2 linked regions of the Drosophila melanogaster genome follow. The protein of the gene in region 2 purifies or fractionates together with the protein of the main gene of each other region. This does not show direct contact. Each region holds a gene or a part of one and is shown on either strand. Other genes may lie near its edges.

The links.
Region 1: the proteins of Ama (region 2) and RluA-2 purify together in Drosophila melanogaster (affinity purification with mass spectrometry, with the first as the bait; one large-scale study listed by BioGRID). This does not show direct contact.

Annotation. Positions count from the first base shown.
Region 1 is NT_033779.5:10,475,310-10,484,508, forward strand, and holds RluA-2 (RluA pseudouridine synthase 2), read left to right. Parts: upstream 1-1,763; 5' UTR 1,764-2,076; coding exon 2,077-2,283; intron 2,284-5,788; coding exon 5,789-5,975; intron 5,976-6,038; coding exon 6,039-6,261; intron 6,262-6,312; coding exon 6,313-6,400; intron 6,401-6,453; coding exon 6,454-6,674; intron 6,675-6,733; coding exon 6,734-6,924; intron 6,925-6,975; coding exon 6,976-7,265; intron 7,266-7,315; coding exon 7,316-7,477; intron 7,478-7,535; coding exon 7,536-7,610; 3' UTR 7,611-7,666; downstream 7,667-9,199. Other genes in the region: Grip75, read left to right, coding at 8,049-8,117, 8,175-8,319, 8,378-8,663, 8,725-8,884, 8,945-9,199.
Region 2 is NT_033777.3:6,759,324-6,767,175, forward strand, and holds Ama (amalgam), read left to right. Parts: upstream 1-3,269; 5' UTR 3,270-3,656; coding exon 3,657-3,673; intron 3,674-3,856; exon of another isoform or gene 3,857-4,193; intron 4,194-4,509; coding exon 4,510-5,518; 3' UTR 5,519-5,938; downstream 5,939-7,852.

The DNA.
Region 1 (9,199 bases), on a different chromosome or scaffold from region 2:
GACACAATTCCCCTAAACAAATGGTAAGTGTCCTCTGGCACACCCACAATTACTCGTATAAAATCCACTTTTTCGGAATGCTCGAAGCAATTTCATATTCAAAATCATACTTCTGGTGTTGCAGCCACAACCTTCTAATATCAGTTACGACTTGCACCAAATAATCATTCGAAAGAATTCCTCAAAAATTACATACCAACATGAATGTACATATATTCTGAAAACAATGCGTTTGCCTTTTCCGATTGACACAGTGAAAATGAACAAAAGAATGTTGAGGCTGATGATGAGCGAAACAAAAGTATAAAAGATCTGATTCACCAAAAGTGAAATTCGTAACGTAGATCTTGTGGAAGTGAAGAAATTCTTATTATAATCTAAAAAAACATAATTTTTGTTTCAGTATCTAAGCAACTTTATCCTTGTAAGTTTGGTTCCATGTTTTTGAGCGCCAAAAAGTAGGCAACAAATTAAGCTAAATCAAGCGAGCTCGTGTTGATCCTTAGATAAGCAAGGACTATTGAAACAACTCAAAGATAGTTGGATTAGTTTTAATAATTTTTTCCAATTAGCAACTAACCAAAATACAGAAGGCATTATGTTTGATCAAATTTGGGCTAAGGCTCCGCGAATTGCGTGTTTGACTGCGTGACTTTTGTTTTCCGAAACTCACCCACTTTCGCACGGGCCATTCCATTCAGATCCCGACGCCATGGTCTACGGGTATATGGAGTGGAGTGGAGTGGAGGTCTCCTTGAAACGCGGTTGGTCACGAAAGCGAACAACAAAGAAAAGGCTTGCCCGTCATTTGAGGCAACATTTAATGGCCACTGGCTATGGGGCTATATGGCTATATGGCTAAAAAGCTATAGGGCTCATCCTGAATAAACAGGGGTTGGTGTGTGTGGGTGTGTGCGACTAGGTGTGTGTGTGTGTGTGTTGGTGTGCGAGAAGTTGACGTTCGTTTGTGAAAACGAAGAAAGTGATTAAATCAGCACGATATTTTGTAGGTGTGCGCTAGCTCACCCATTAAATTTCTCCCATCCGCATTCGTGTATGTGTGTGTGTGAGCCCGCACACACACCTACACATTTGAGCTACTGTTCTAAATTGACTTTTCGCCTGGACAAAACTAAAAATGACGACATCGCGTTTTTTTTCGCTTTCATAGAAAAGCTTTGCCTCTAAACATGCCCATCATGCGCGTGTTTATAAACAACACAGATCTCTTACCAACCTGTATATAACATTTATATGTATATATATATAGAAAGGTGTGCTGGGCCTCCGATTACACTCCCACATGCATGTTCGCACACATGTATGCAGTTACCAAATATGGGAACACACGTTAATGTAATTAAGCCTTAAGGCTGGATAAATGCCAACTCGAGTCGTATATTATTTGCGATATTGCAGGCAGTTATAAATTAACTTCTTTATGACTGCTGCTAATTTGGATTTTCAATTCGAGTGCTTGTTATTTTGGGTGTTATTTTAAAAGAACTTAAACAGCTTGAAGATAAGGTTTCAAAAACGTTAAGCCATTATCATTATCCCAGGACTGCCTCATTTTTGGTGGAAGCGATTTCTTACATTTTGTTACAATTTAAATCTGTATTGGTTTTTCACGCAATATCTTTAGTTTAACGAATATCATATATCCTATCTTGAACTTCAGCATTTCGAAAACGGTTTCGAGTGGCTTTGAAAAACCAGTAAGTTCCGTGCAAATACCCCTAATGAAGTTCAATCGGCGCGAATCAGTGGTTCGCGCGCTTATCGATAGGCAATGTTTTGGTTTTGCTTGCTTTCGGCATAAAAACGTAATTTTCATGCGGTTTTTGCGGCAATTTAGGGACGTTTTTCGTTTGGCAAGTGGTGTTTGTGTTATGAATTAAAGTAACATTTAACTCATTCAATTGAATCATCGCATAAAGCAGAGTGTTTTTGTGTTTGAAACTGAAATCTGCGCACGTGTTGACTAACTTGTTGTTATTATTATAGCGTTGCTTAGATATTCTAGTAAATTGGCCGCAAATCAAAAACTATAAACAATTCTCGTGGCTGTTGAAAATGGAGAGTTCCAAACTCTTGAGAAATGCACAAACCCAGCATGGAGATGCCTCATCCGTGGACGTGGAAAACATATTCCTGCACCGCCATATGCTATACACAAATCCCACTTCGGATGGCAATCTCCATGATCGGGAAGATTCCCCCGAATGCGTGTGGTGTCCAGACGACAAGGATGGTAGTCCAGCTGAAAGCAAAGATCCACCGGTGAGTAGTGATAAGATAAGACATTCTATTAAGTACATAGATCCGGTTACTATTATATATCAAGATATCATACAATATATAATTACATATGATCCGCATTGTTTGCTGAGTATACCTTGTGTATTTATAAAAAAGAAAACTAAATTTTTAAAATTATATACTGTATAGTTATAATTTTTTAACATTACAGAAATGTTAGAAATATATTGTATATTCAGGAATATATTTATGTGTAAAATCCAGCTGAACTTGATTAAATGCCGTTTTGTTCATGCACTTGAATGCATATTTGTTTACCCTGGCGTGTCGCCCTCCATTATTAATTCCCATTTATTTACCCGCTTTATAGCGAGGAATCCGCGGCTGGCGACCACTTCTCCAACTTTGACCGATTCGCAGCTAGTAAAAGAGCATATTTATCTTGGGGGAATCGAATGCCCAAAACAATTTAGTCCGGTCTGCTCGCAAATTGTGTGGATTCGGATTCCTGTCCTCACTTATGCAGTATTATTGGTGTCGAGGGAAATTTCAATGCAGCAGCTCCAATCGCACACTTAAAACTTAATTAAAAAGCTAATCAGGGAGTAGCAAATGCAATTTGCTGCATTAATTTAAACAATTAATTAGGTACAATTTCAATTGTTGTAATGCTCTTCATATCTAAGCTCATTCATACTGTAGTAGTTTAATTCTAAATTGACGTAATAAACTAGAGGCAAATTAGGTTTTTGATTGAAGCTTAAAGTGTTGTTTTGTATTTATTCTTCAGAAAAAGTTTCGAAGTAAGTTGCAAACTAATTAATAACAATAATGAAAGAAAGCTCAAACAGCATTGCGTGACACCCACACATGTGAGTGAAAGAAATGGGTTTATTTCAGTTTTATTCTATTACCTTAAAGTTTCGAGAGTCATAAAATTGTATATAAACATGCGGTGGAGCCAGGAGGAGTAGCTGCACCCTGGTACCTGGAGATTTAAGCCATTTTTACGAGACTTTGAGTCACAAATGCCCCAATAAACGAGACTGCAGTCAGTGCCTGCAGTGGAAGAGTCAACGTTCTGGCCGCCATAGAAATTTAAAGCCACCCCTAGGCGTCAGTAGATTCTTAAAAATTTAGGGCTTTGCTAAGATGTGCAACAAAAACCAGATTTTAGACAAAACCCTTAATGGCCCACAAAAACCGGTACAGGCATGCTAGTTTCGTGGCTTTTTGTTTGCTGGTTCCTCCACCTCAACGTACGTGACAGTGTCAAATGGCCTTAAATATTTAGCCAGAGTGTACACTTAAAGCGCCAGACCCATTCCTAATTCTCTCTCGCTAATTAAACTAATCAATAAACTAAAAACCGGAGTGTATACAAACGCATATACATTATATACATGTATATATATGTATATAGGGAAATAGCTCGAGGTTGTCGTCTGCAAGGAGTTAAGTTATGTGTGGGGACCAACTGGACGCACGAATGGACGGACACGTTTCACTTGCCTTCGTAGATATTTTACCACGGATTTGTCATAATTAGTTCTTTTTTGGGTGGGGTTTCAGTGGGTTTCTAGTGTCCCGGCATCTCGCGCGGTGGCTGCCTAACGAGCTACTTTTGTCAAGTTGGTCTGTTGGTCGTGATGTTTCCGCAATTATTAGTGTCAGTGCCTCGTGCTTACGGGCGGGTGGGTATCCTAAGTGCGGTCCTCATTGTTTCCGCGATGCGCCTTTTGGGCCAGTCGTTTTTATAATTCTTACAATACCATGTAAACACGCATTACGAAAACCGCCGCGGATGGCGGTTACTGGTTTGCAGGAAGAGGAAAATCCCTCTAAGACTTGGTCGCCTGCACTCCTTTTCCATTTTCCATTCCACTGACACTGGCTTGCGCCATCAAACTGAGGAATTAAAAGGGAAGATAGGCTGCCTGTGGACTAAGTGGCTTTGCGGATCAGGCACACTTTGCGCAATTAACTAAATAAATAAATGTATAGAAAAGTGGTTGTTAAGAAAACATAAGCCTTGTCATTCGAACATATCAAATATTCCCAAATCTTGCCACTTTAAAAACTCTTGTTGGGCTTTTTGCACAGACACAATACCTATTTTTTTTAATAAGGTTTGATTGCATCCCCTCTGTTAATTATAATTAACAGGTAATATTAATGATTTTAACTTTCTTTTTGTGGCATAATAATGGTGGCATATTGACTTGGAACAATCAAAAGCATTATTTATGTTGACTTTAATAGCCAAGGACAAACAAAAAATTATGAAATAAATAAAAATAACAATTGCATTAATATGTAAAATCTGTGTAGTATATATATTAATTAAGACCATAAAGGGAACAAAACCCATAGAGATGGCACTTTCGAATGTGTTGAGATATCTGCGAGGCGCCAAATTGAATTGATCTGGCAACGCTAAGTTGAATTTGTTATCAATGTAGGTTAATGTGAAGAAAAAGAAAAATCGTGGGTTTGTTTACAAAAAAGCGCGATAAAAATAGAATGCGAATTGGCGGCAAGTGAGGGGAGCCGCCGATGATATCCAATTTGTATGATAATTATGCGCACAGGTGTGGACGGATTGGAAATGTGCCATCAAGAGCATGTGGAAACAGAAACATGAGCCAATGAAGGCGACGGAAGAAGAGCATGTCATTATCCTCCAGTTGGATAAGTTCCAAGATGCTGATCCGGATGAAATCAGGGTGTATCAAGAAGCAGTACCCAAGGGAGTTAGCTCCTCTAGTCTTAAAAACACCGCCTAACAATATAAAAACCTTATCGAAACCCATTGTTAGCTGATAACAGCTTTAGAATAATCTCTGCAGGATCAGAGGTCACTGCAATTCTTAAGGTAATTGCAATTCTTAAGGTAATTGCTGTAGAGCTTCGTGAAACTACGAGGACCGACGCAGAATCAATGATGTCTATGGCACTTGAGATGTGGAGAAGGGAGGGCAGCACAAAAATGATAAAAAATGTTTGTATTTTATAGTTTTAAACTTTGCATAACCCTTAAACAACTCAAGAGACCTGTTTTATTATGGACTTTTGTCTATGTTTGCTTCCTGGCTAGAACATATTGGCTGGTAGACCAGTAACCAACAAAATACTACTGGTTCGCAGCCAATTTTGTAGTTTTTGTTTTCCTTTTAGTGTGCAACAAGGAAAAAACAAACAGTCTGTCTGAAAATTATGCTTGGGCTGCAGAATGAAAACGAGGAATTGTTTGCACACAAACACCGGAAACAAGGCTCCAATGTGTTAAGAGCTGATAAGCTGATAAGGATACATATATGATGACTTTGGCACGGTAGGCTTTCGTATTTTCTGTATCTTCAAGAGTGAAGTTCCTCAAATCTAAACGAATTTTCTAAATAGTAAGCAATTGTTCAGTTTAAAGCAAGAACTAAAGGTGTTTTTGCTCAAAAATAAAAAGAAGACATTCAATGAAGCTGAAAATATTTTAAAAAACTATTACCACCCGTCGTGGTTTATCTTACAGATATCCATATCAGAGGAAAAGTCTGAAACGCAATCAAAAGAAGTTTTGTCGGAAAAGCGAAAAGCTAGCAGCACAGATGACGAAGGGCATGTGAAAAAAGTAAAATTAGAGGCCAATAGTCTAAAAACGAAGCGTCCTGGATTCAGCGATGAAAGATACGACGAAACATCGTATTATTTTGAGAATGGTATGGCCAACATATTAATAAACCAACTTAGAAGATATTCTGTTATAAAATTGCAATCTATAGGTCTGCGGAAGGTGTATCCTTATTTTTTCACATTCACCACGTTCGCCAAAGGACGTTGGGTTGATGAGAAAATTCTGGATGTATTTGTCCGCGAATTTCGAGCCGCACCGCCGGAGGAATATGAACGCAGCCTGGAAGCGGGAAAATTGACTGTTAACTCTGAGAAAGTGCCCAAGGACTATAAAATCAAGCACAATGATCTGCTGGCCAATGTGGTGCATAGGTAAGCATCAGCAGGAAATCTCATTTGAATATGCACACATTTGCATTCTAGACACGAAGTCCCTGTTACTTCACAGCCCATCAAGATTGTGTACATGGACAAGGATATTGTGGTTGTGAATAAGCCGGCATCGATACCGGTAGGTATACTAATTTGGAAGGAATTTGATTTAATAACAATCGTATGTTGTAGGTACATCCTTGTGGAAGATATAGACACAACACGGTAGTTTTCATCCTGGCCAAGGAGCACAATCTGAAGAACCTGCGAACCATTCACAGATTGGATCGTCTCACATCTGGCCTACTTTTGTTTGGACGGACTGCTGAAAAAGCCCGCGAATTGGAGCTGCAAATCCGAACTCGCCAAGTGCAAAAGGAATACGTTTGCCGCGTTGAAGGACGCTTTCCAGAGTAAGTCCAAAATGCATCTAATCTTTTATATATCTGCTTATTTTTCATATCTTTCGTAGTGGCATAGTTGAATGCAATGAGAAAATCGACGTCGTGAGCTACAAAATAGGTGTTTGTAAGGTTTCACCGAAGGGCAAGGACTGTAAGACCACATTTAAAAGAATCGGCGAGGTGGGCAGTGATAGTATTGTTTTGTGCAAACCACTAACAGGACGAATGCACCAAATACGAGTGCATTTACAATTCTTGGGTAAGTGACAACCAGATAATTCCATTCAATTATAACACTCGTATTTCACAGGCTATCCCATTTCAAATGATCCTTTGTACAACCATGAAGTTTTCGGTCCATTGAAAGGAAGAGGAGGAGATATCGGTGGAATAACCGAGGAACAGTTGATCAGTAACCTAATTAGCATTCATAATGCAGAAAACTGGTTGGGCTTGGAAGGAGATCAAATCGTATCAGGGGAAATAAAAGACGTAGCAGCAAGTACTTCAGTAGTAGAGGCTCCCTCAGTAGTTCAGGCTCCTATTAATAGTGAAACTGAAAAGCCTGTGATTTCAAAAAACCTTGAACCAAGTAACGATGTAAGTAACTTAAAATAGTTGTACAAGTCTGGAGAACACAATGCTTATAGGCTACTGCACAGATTGCCACCCAAACGTGCTATGAGGAACCAGACAGGTCCTTTGATTCCAAGAAGACAACTTCGGATCCGCAATGTTCTGAATGCAAGATAAACTACAGAGACCCCGGCACAAAGGATCTCATAATGTACTTGCATGCATGGAAATACAAGGTCAGTTTCAAACTATACATTTTTAAAGATTTAATTTCAAATTAAATCTTATTTTCAGGGCGTTGGTTGGGAGTACGAAACCGAATTGCCGGAATGGGCGTGTAATTCGAATATTGATTACGATAAAGTATAAAGGAAAAATTGATTGCAAACACGACGCTTTAGTAAAAAGAAATATTTTTACAGAGTTTAACAAATTGTGTTTCCATTTTATCTTCATTTGTAGCATTGTTTTATTACTTTGCCGAATTACTTTATCATTTTGCGGTGCAAGGGGATGTCCTCGTGGAGTATTATTTATCGTCGTGCAGTGGATGTCCTAGGATGCCAACTATCCTGGATAATACTTTGCAAGAACTTCACCTGAACACTCTGCTCACAGTGGTTTCAGTTAACTGCAGTTCTGCGAATTTTTAAAATTTAAAACCACAATCAGTTGGCGGGAAGGGAATGCCCCTAATTCTATCGATTAGTTGGTTCTTATCGATAACGGACGGGGCAGGATATGTGTCATCTCTGTCGGACATCTGGCGCAAATGAAATACAAATACCGAATTAAAGCAGCAAAACAATGATACACGATTTGTTATTGGCTTGCCGGAGCCACAATCCGGAGCAGCTGGGTATAAAGGCATTCAATGTAAGTAAAATCGTTGGAAATAAATAATTTCGAAAGCCTTACAAGCGAACTTTCTAGGAAACCACAGTCATTGACCAGTTCATACATCCTTGCGAGCGGGAGATATTTATGGACATTATAAAAATCATTAAGGTTTACCAAGAAGTTGAGCAGTTTACCCATTCATCGGGAAGAAAGTCCGACACACATGGCGAACTTCCAGGTATAAATGGAAGGTTGCATAGTGTTTTTAAGATTTCAAATGTGTATTTCTATCGCAGATAGTTTGCATGGTTACTACTTGCTCAATTTGGCCAAGGGCATTGAAATGGCTCTGGAGGAGTACTACGCTGAGATCGGACGTCTGGAGAAGTATTGTTTGGGTAACGAGCGCAATTCGCTCTCATATGTCTACAATGCCCTGTACGCCAAGTTCCCCCTTCTGGTCTTCATGCGTAATCTCATCACAGAGATCCATGTGCTGAATCTGCGAGGATGCGTCTTGCTCCACAATCTACATCAGCAGTGCGAGCACGGCGATATTCAACTGGAAAAAGCAATCAAGATGCAAGTGATAGCCAACACACAACGCCTTGTTTCCATAATCCAAATGCTCTTCATTATGCAGAATTATGAAGCCTGTTAAGAACGCATTTTTCTCCAGCCTGGCTCACTGGCTGTTGTTTGGAGTGATTGACGATGTCCACTCGGAATTCTTTATTAAGTTTACCCCAACGGATGCAGTTGATGGTAGCTCATTCAGCAAATCAGCCACTTGCTCACTTCTGGTAACAACTTAACAAGCGATTATCCTTACCCTATATTATAAATAGCATATCTATATCCAGAGCGCAGAGAAAAACCCCGAGGATTACATATGGCAATATGAGGTGAATATGTCTCAGCTGCCAGGATTTTTCTCCATCGTTTTAGCCGAAAAAGTTCTGTTCGTGGGACAAACAGTGCTGGTCTTCAAAATGGGGCGCAACGTAAAAGTTAAAAACAAAACCGACCCACTGGCGGCAAAACTGGCTGAATTGGATTCAGATGATATCTATCAGCTGTGGAGCGGCAGGGAGTCCGAGTTCTTCAAAATGGTCGTT
Region 2 (7,852 bases):
GAAAAATGGCAAAGGAGTGTGGAAACTTTCTTGTATTTTCAGTAACCGGTTACTTTCGAGACGCTCGCGAACTTATTTCGCCCACATTTTGCGTTTTTGCGATCCACTGCTTCGCATCTGCAGAGTGCCGTTATTTAGGGATGAGCGAAGAGATGTAGAGATGGCACAATTGGCGGCCCTCCCTCGATGTTCATTCTTTTGAGTAATTTAAAAATCAATAAGCGTCTACAATACATTTTAGACAAATATTTGGACATTTTATTTTTAAATGTTTGCCTCTAATTTAAAAGTTTTTAATCGAACAGTACGGCAAAGCTGCAAACCGATTGAGTGCACAGCGTTTTCACCAGGGGGCGTGAAGAGACAGCAGTAGAGAGCCCCCTGTCGGGCTGTATTGAAAGGTTGTGCTCACTGACAAAAGGTGAATGTTCTAAAACGTCGGAGGTTTATTTATTTGTAGAGATTTGCATTTGAGAATAATAATAAAAAAAAGCTTGAATATTGTAACAAATAAGTAGAACCAATTAAACTTAAACTCTTTGCTCTGTTTGGAACTTCATAATATTAACATTTAATTAACAAACAGGCACCCCAAATTTAGGAATCAATTAGACAAGTGTCGAATGTTTAATTTGAATTTTTGTTAATATTATAATATTAATATGCTCCAGTCCAGTCCAGCCTGAATTGAACAAAATGTGCACTTTGTAGTTTATTCTGTTACATACTTCCGCTATTAATAACTACATTATTCAATCTTAGTATCGCGAGATATATAAGGACTTGGGACAAAGAATAAGGATGGTGGAGATCGAGTTTGTTTTTCCAAATGATCTCAAACGGCTACGTACGAAAGAAAATATCATATAATCGTTTTGTAAGACAGCATATAGTGCTTGCTATATGTACCTGTTAGGCAGTGCATTATAAAATGTATTAGAAGAATAAAAGGTAACCAGTTGTCGAGTTAATTAGCTGTAGCGTTCGATTCTTTTGTTAATTTTTTTTAAGTTGTTCTACTCATTTCTGATGTTAAGCTAGGATTGGCAATTATTATTTTCAGGCTCCATATTTGGAAAATTCGATATGTTTAGCGTTGAAGAATATTGTGTAAATATCTACAAGCATTAAGTTGCTCAGTGCATTGGCCCAAGCTTTAACATTTTAAAACACACCCAACGAGCCAGTTGACCTTTAAGCAAGTGTCGCAAGGCCTTAAGTGAAATATTTTTTAATGACATTTGCCAAATAATTGTCGTGTTTGCTTTTGGGATCTGGCAGGAGCTTGTTGCTGTTGGCCGGGCTTTGCTGCTTCTGCCGCTGCCAACTGGCAACAAAAGTCAATTCACAGACACTCCAGTCGACGGAGTCGGAGTGCAGCCAAAAGGCAAACAAAATACGTTCGCATAGGCAAAGCCCAAGGATACACACAAAGGTACAGTGGTTGCTCTGACTACAAATACAAATTAAACAGGGCCAGAGCTTTAATACCAATTCGATACCATTGCAACAACAGCATTTCAAATGCTACTTTTTTATATCAGATAAAGATAGGTAGAAAAGGCTATATTTACGTTAAAGGCAAGCTGATATTTTAGAAATTTATTCAAAAACAAAATTAATTACTTTGACACATAATATTGTATTTAGTCATCTGACTAGAAACTAGAAATCTCTGAATGTAACGAAGTTCTGTGCATTCTTACAAATATTACAAAAAGTATCTGCTAGATACCACTGTGCGGAACTGGGCCACAAATTCAGACGCAGTGTGTGACAAAGGACTTCTCCCTTCCCCGCTCGGCGACCCTGAATGCTGAATGCCCCCGTGTGTGCCGCTGCTGAAGCGAAACACCCAAAGAGTCACTGACAGAAACAGGATTCGGGTAATAAATTACAAAATTTGACATTTTCTGTTTTGGATCCGCTTGCGCCTGAATGCGAGCGGCAGCCCTCTCTGTCGCACGCCGTCTAGCCGTCTCTTTCGTTCGGTTTCGGTGTGTGTCCAGTTCGGTCGGGCCAAGTCGAGCGTTGCATGAAGCAGCCGGACCTGCCAGGACCTGGACCAGGACCTGAACCTGCATCCAAGAGGCATCGCCGCAATGGTCATAATGACGCTGCCGGGATGCAGCTGAGGACAAGGAGAGCCGTCAGTGGGCAGCGAGAAAGGGACGGAATAGAAGCGCCCTATGCGGTCCGTTGATAGTTAACTGGAAATTTATTATTTTACACAATTTACAATTATCTGATTCGAATGTGCACTCAGCGACGAGGATTCCGGCAGATGGGCAGTACGAGTGAGAGTGCGGGGGTCCAAGTTCGGACGACAGATGCAGTTGTCCTCCCATGGGAACGGCCTCATTTCAGCAGAAGTCACCGAAACGATTTAAGATGTGATTTAATTTTCCAGAAACTGTGGCCATAGTTTCGTCGCTCTTCGGGGGAATTTCTTCGCCAGACAGACAGCGTCGTCATCAATCATCTCGCAGAGTAAAGCCGGGTTAACCTCGATGGGTTTTAGGGGGAAACTTGGCCCGGGGCTGATCAGGAATCAGGCTGGAAATATGAAAATTAAATGCGTTTGGGCAGCAGAAAGTTTTCGAATGGTTCGGTGCTTATACAACAAGTGAAATTTTGCACATCAAACGGCCTTTGACCACATTTAATCCTTAAATCATCTGCCATAGGAACTAATTGATCGAGATCCAGACACATATTAAACACATCAATATATATACACAAATATAATCAATATAGACTATGTTATATTTCGACGTTTCCTATCCTCGTATGCTGTGAGTACACATATTAACCTTCAGCCGTGTAAAGAAATTTCTACGAACAGCCAAGTTAAAGGTACCCAAATTTCCCGAATACTGCTCTTTAAATATCCTTCAGAATTTCCCAGCATGGCTGAACCAGGACTCGATTCAAGTTCCACCCAATGCCTTGTACACCACCCCGTTGTTTTTGCCTTTTCGCGCATGCGCCCCTGCTCCGGCGCAAAAGAGACAGCACTAATGAGACGGCGCTGGGATCGCTGGCATTTCCAGAGCGGCTAGGATATTCCAGGGACCGCTCGTAATCGTTGCTGTTGTTGTTAGCCGCCAGCGGAAAGTAGTGCGCCATGCCATAAATCACACAAATGGGTAGAGTTCCAACTTTCCCACCCCGCCGCTGCTCCTTTTATTGTCCTTCCACGAACCCCGAAACGTTTATGGCCAAATGGCGGCACGAATTTGAATTTGAATTTCGCACGCGGTCTCTCAGTTCGCCTGCGGCCGCTTTCGCTGGCGCTTTGTTTTTGCAACTGACCGCTTATCTTGGGGCGGGGGCTGTCAAGTGGGCGGGGCAGGAGGGCCACAGGCAGAGGCATAAACAACAGCAGCGAGCAGCAAAACAAATCAATTAAAGACCAGAAGGAAAGTGCATTGATAACTGAGCCCGAAGTCAAACTCACGCACAAGTAAACAATTTAAATACGAACTAAAATGCAAACACAGATACAAAATACAGATAGAGATACTGAACAAACACAGATACAAATACTGTGAAGGCGACAATGTACATAACCGAGGGGTGATAAGATCCAAAACGTCGATGACTTCTTCATCGGCAAATACACTGAAAAAAGCTGTTACTAATTATTAAAAAATATGCAATATAATAAAAGGTAAACTATTTTTTTTACTAAATTTTAAACTATTTACTAAACACTGCCATTTAAAATCTTTTTTCACATCCTTAACTACAAAAAAATTAATTTTAAATCAAATTGATTTCGTTTACCTGGCTATTCATTAAAAAAAAAAATAAGTATTGATATATCGGAAAACTAAGTTATCTCCGTTTTTACCAGTGTATCCATTAAGAAGCAACGTTGTCTAGACACAGCCGCGGTAATCAATCATAATGGTGTCTATCTGCTTCATTCTCGCGGTGTACAAATTTCGGGACTTTCCTTGAGAAACCGAGCCATCGACGTCGGCGCGTCAGGAAGAATACAAAAATAAGAACCCGATTCTCAGAACCTCAGCAGAGATACGGATTTTTGAGCCGAGCTCGGTCGCCTCTTTCAATTCAGTCGAGTCCCGAACGCGAAGTGAAGCGCATTGAACCCACATTGAACTGAGAGATAGTCGAGGAAAAAGAGTCACAAAATCAACAGCAACATCCTGTAAATAAACAGAAATGTATGAATTATATTAAAATAAGACGATAAAGCTGAAAAGTGTGTACAAGCCTTATAAATGTTTCAAAACGAGTGTGTGTGCAGAATTCTTTCCTTCTTATTTACTTTTGAAAGATACTTTTAAAGATATACTTGTGACCTTTAAATTATTATTCTATAATTGAACCTAGTTTTAGTTTATTATATTGAATTCGAAGATGGGTTAAAAATGGCAGTTCTCCATTACATACGAAATATTTAGAATGGCTAACGCGATCAAAAGACTCAACATAAAGTGATACACTAATAAATCTCAAATCTATTTTGATTTCTTACAGACCAGACATGGCGCGTCTGCGGCTTCTAATCGGTCTTATATTCTGCCTTGCGATCAGCTTGGATTCGGTGCTTAGTGCCCCAGTGATCAGCCAGATCAGCAAGGACGTGGTGGCCAGTGTGGGCGACTCTGTGGAGTTCAACTGCACCGTGGAGGAGGTGGGACAGCTCTCGGTGAGCTGGGCCAAGCGTCCCAGCGAGTCGGACACCAACTCGGTGGTGCTCTCCATGCGGAATATCCTCAGTCTGCCCGACCAGCGGTACAACGTAACGGTCACCGAAGGACCCAAGACCGGAAGTGCCATTTACACCTTCCGCATTCAGAACATCGAAGTCAGTGACATGGGTCCGTACGAGTGTCAGGTGCTTGTTTCGGCCACGGAGAAGGTGACCAAGAAGCTGAGCCTGCAGATCAAGACCCCGCCGGTGATTGCGGAGAACACCCCCAAGAGCACCCTGGTGACAGAGGGACAGAATCTGGAGCTGACCTGCCATGCCAATGGCTTTCCCAAGCCTACGATCTCCTGGGCCCGCGAGCATAATGCAGTGATGCCTGCCGGTGGCCATTTGCTGGCCGAACCAACTCTCCGGATTCGTTCCGTGCACCGGATGGATCGCGGCGGCTACTACTGCATCGCGCAGAACGGAGAGGGCCAGCCGGACAAGAGGTTGATCCGGGTCGAAGTGGAGTTCCGTCCGCAGATTGCCGTCCAGAGGCCCAAGATCGCCCAAATGGTGTCCCATTCCGCGGAGCTGGAGTGCTCCGTGCAGGGCTACCCGGCTCCGACTGTAGTTTGGCACAAGAATGGCGTGCCCCTGCAGTCTAGCCGGCACCACGAGGTGGCCAACACCGCCTCCTCCTCGGGAACCACAACCTCTGTGCTGCGCATCGATAGCGTGGGCGAGGAGGACTTTGGGGACTACTACTGCAATGCCACCAATAAGCTGGGACACGCCGATGCGCGACTGCATCTCTTCCAGACCGTCATCCCAGTGCCCTCCTTGTCGTAATAAGCCCTCAACGTCTGATTTCCATTCCCACGCAACAAGACTGGAACCCTCACTTTCTCCTCTCGTCTCGCTTTTTCGGCAATTCGCCAGTCCGGATGCGGTCTGTGTTTATATTATTAATGATTCATTCAATTAGCTCCCATTCAGACTTCATTATTTTCGGACACACTTGAGATCGAGCCACCGCTTGTGCCTTATGAATTTTGCTCTGCATCCGTCGGCTTGTGCAAACACACATTAATATGCTTAAGTAAATAACGTTCTCTGATAAAGTTTAATCGGTCTTTTCCTATGTGGTTGGGTTGGCTTGTATACGGTGTAAGTTAAATACCATGAGAGAATAAACACCTCTTGAAGCAACGAATTAAAGGGTTTGTCATTCAATAAAACTAAGCCAGGAGACAAGGCATTGTCAAAAGTATTTCATTGTTTTATCGAGAGGGAATCTAAAAATATATGGTAAGTGCAGATATAAATGAAAAATTAATCACTTCTAAACAACACCCAATGCTCCATGGATCTTATTAATTTATAACAATAAACAATTCAAACTTTACACTTTAAAAGCCACAGTTTCGTTAGAATGATGGCTAGAACATCCAAATCTTTTAAAAATCCATTAACTTTTTTGGATGCCACTTTCCAAACCCTAAATAACAGATCTTTCAAGATCTTCTTCCTTAAAGCTGCCATCTGAGTCCGCAAGGTCCCACCTTGACACCAAAAACAGCATGTAACCTCCATTCTGAGCTGGTATTCCAACGGTTAACGCTGCCGAAGTCATTTGCCAAAAAGTTAACCGAGCCCGCTCAAAGTGCCACAGCGTTTAACTCTTCAATCATGGTTAAAAAATGGCAGTCAGTTGTTCACCTCTTGACGTAAACACTCACATGGTCAAAATGCGGAGTGGGTTGTGTGGCGAAAAGTGAACCCGAATGTAAGTTGTTCATTGTAATTGAGAAAAATGCGAGGCATTTGTAAGGCGGTCCAACGAGCTGGGTCTGCCACTGGTACATGAACTATTCGGGAGCTTGTGCGGGGATCCAGTCCAGAGTGCCCAAAGGACTCCATTATGGCCGGAGCACATTAGTTTAACTAAATCCCCAACCCGGCTCATCGCTCACTAAAATCAACACTTGCTAATGACTTAATTGTTTCCATTAGAAACCCGTTGCTGGAATACATTTGGCAAATTTTTCATCCTCGCTCCTGGCTCCTTTTTTCACATGTCCTGCTGGCTTCCCTTCCTGCGGACACCCCTCGAAATGAATCCTGGCTAAATGTCTGTCTTTATTGTAATTGGTATTGTTGCTGCTACTCGCACGCATTCGAGCCTGAAGTCCAGGGACAACACGTGCGTCCTCGTCTGAAACTCCCAGCCCCGCATCCGACCTCCCATTCCGTCGTCCTTTGGCCAGGACATCATTTCATTGTCTGCCGGGGCCGGAGGTTGAGGCCTCTGCGGCAGGAGCAGAGCAACATGGACGTCGACGTGACTTTTATTGATTTTCGGACCAAAACCTCCCCTGAGAGAGAGTCGGCAAAAGTCGATTGGAACGCCAGACGTGAGACTCTGGCCAGTTTAGGGGTGGAAATCGGGTTTTTCCTTGCCGCCACCCTGCCGCAGAAAATGGCAACAGTAAGGCCTGGCTAAGGAGCCCGACAAAGGCTTCAAAGAGAGCCCACTTCAGTTCCACCTCCACCAGAGAATTCCAGCCTGATGGAGGCGGATGTGAAGCCAGAGTTAACGCCTGCGCAGTTCCGTCAAATGGTTACCTTAGGACCAGTGATGACATCCTAGAAGCTTTTCGGCATCCTCTGACCTTAAAATACTATAAAGATATTGATAAAATATAATGTTATAAGCGAAATAAAATATATTATAATATATATATATATATATATATACATATATATATATTCTAATATAATTATAATATTATTATAATATATATAATAATTATTATTATAATTATAATAATATAATAATAAATAATTAGAAAACCTTGTTAGAAAGAAACCATTTATTAAAAATGTTGTCGAACTTTTTAAACTTACGAACCTACACATATTCAGCAAATAAAACTAAAAGAATGTCATCACTGCTTCCGACTTGCACTTTTATTGGATGCTGTTACTGGAACCTGGAATCAGAATCCGCCGACAATCTCTGGATTCCAAAACGAACCGCCTCCACAGACGGACGGTCATTCGGCTGGGATCTTTTGGCCAGGATGCAGTGGCCCAGATTCCGCGGCTCCAGCGCCCATTTTCCAACTGTTTCCACATCCTCAACGACGAACGCGGTTGTAAACAAAGGCCGTGGTGTTGGTT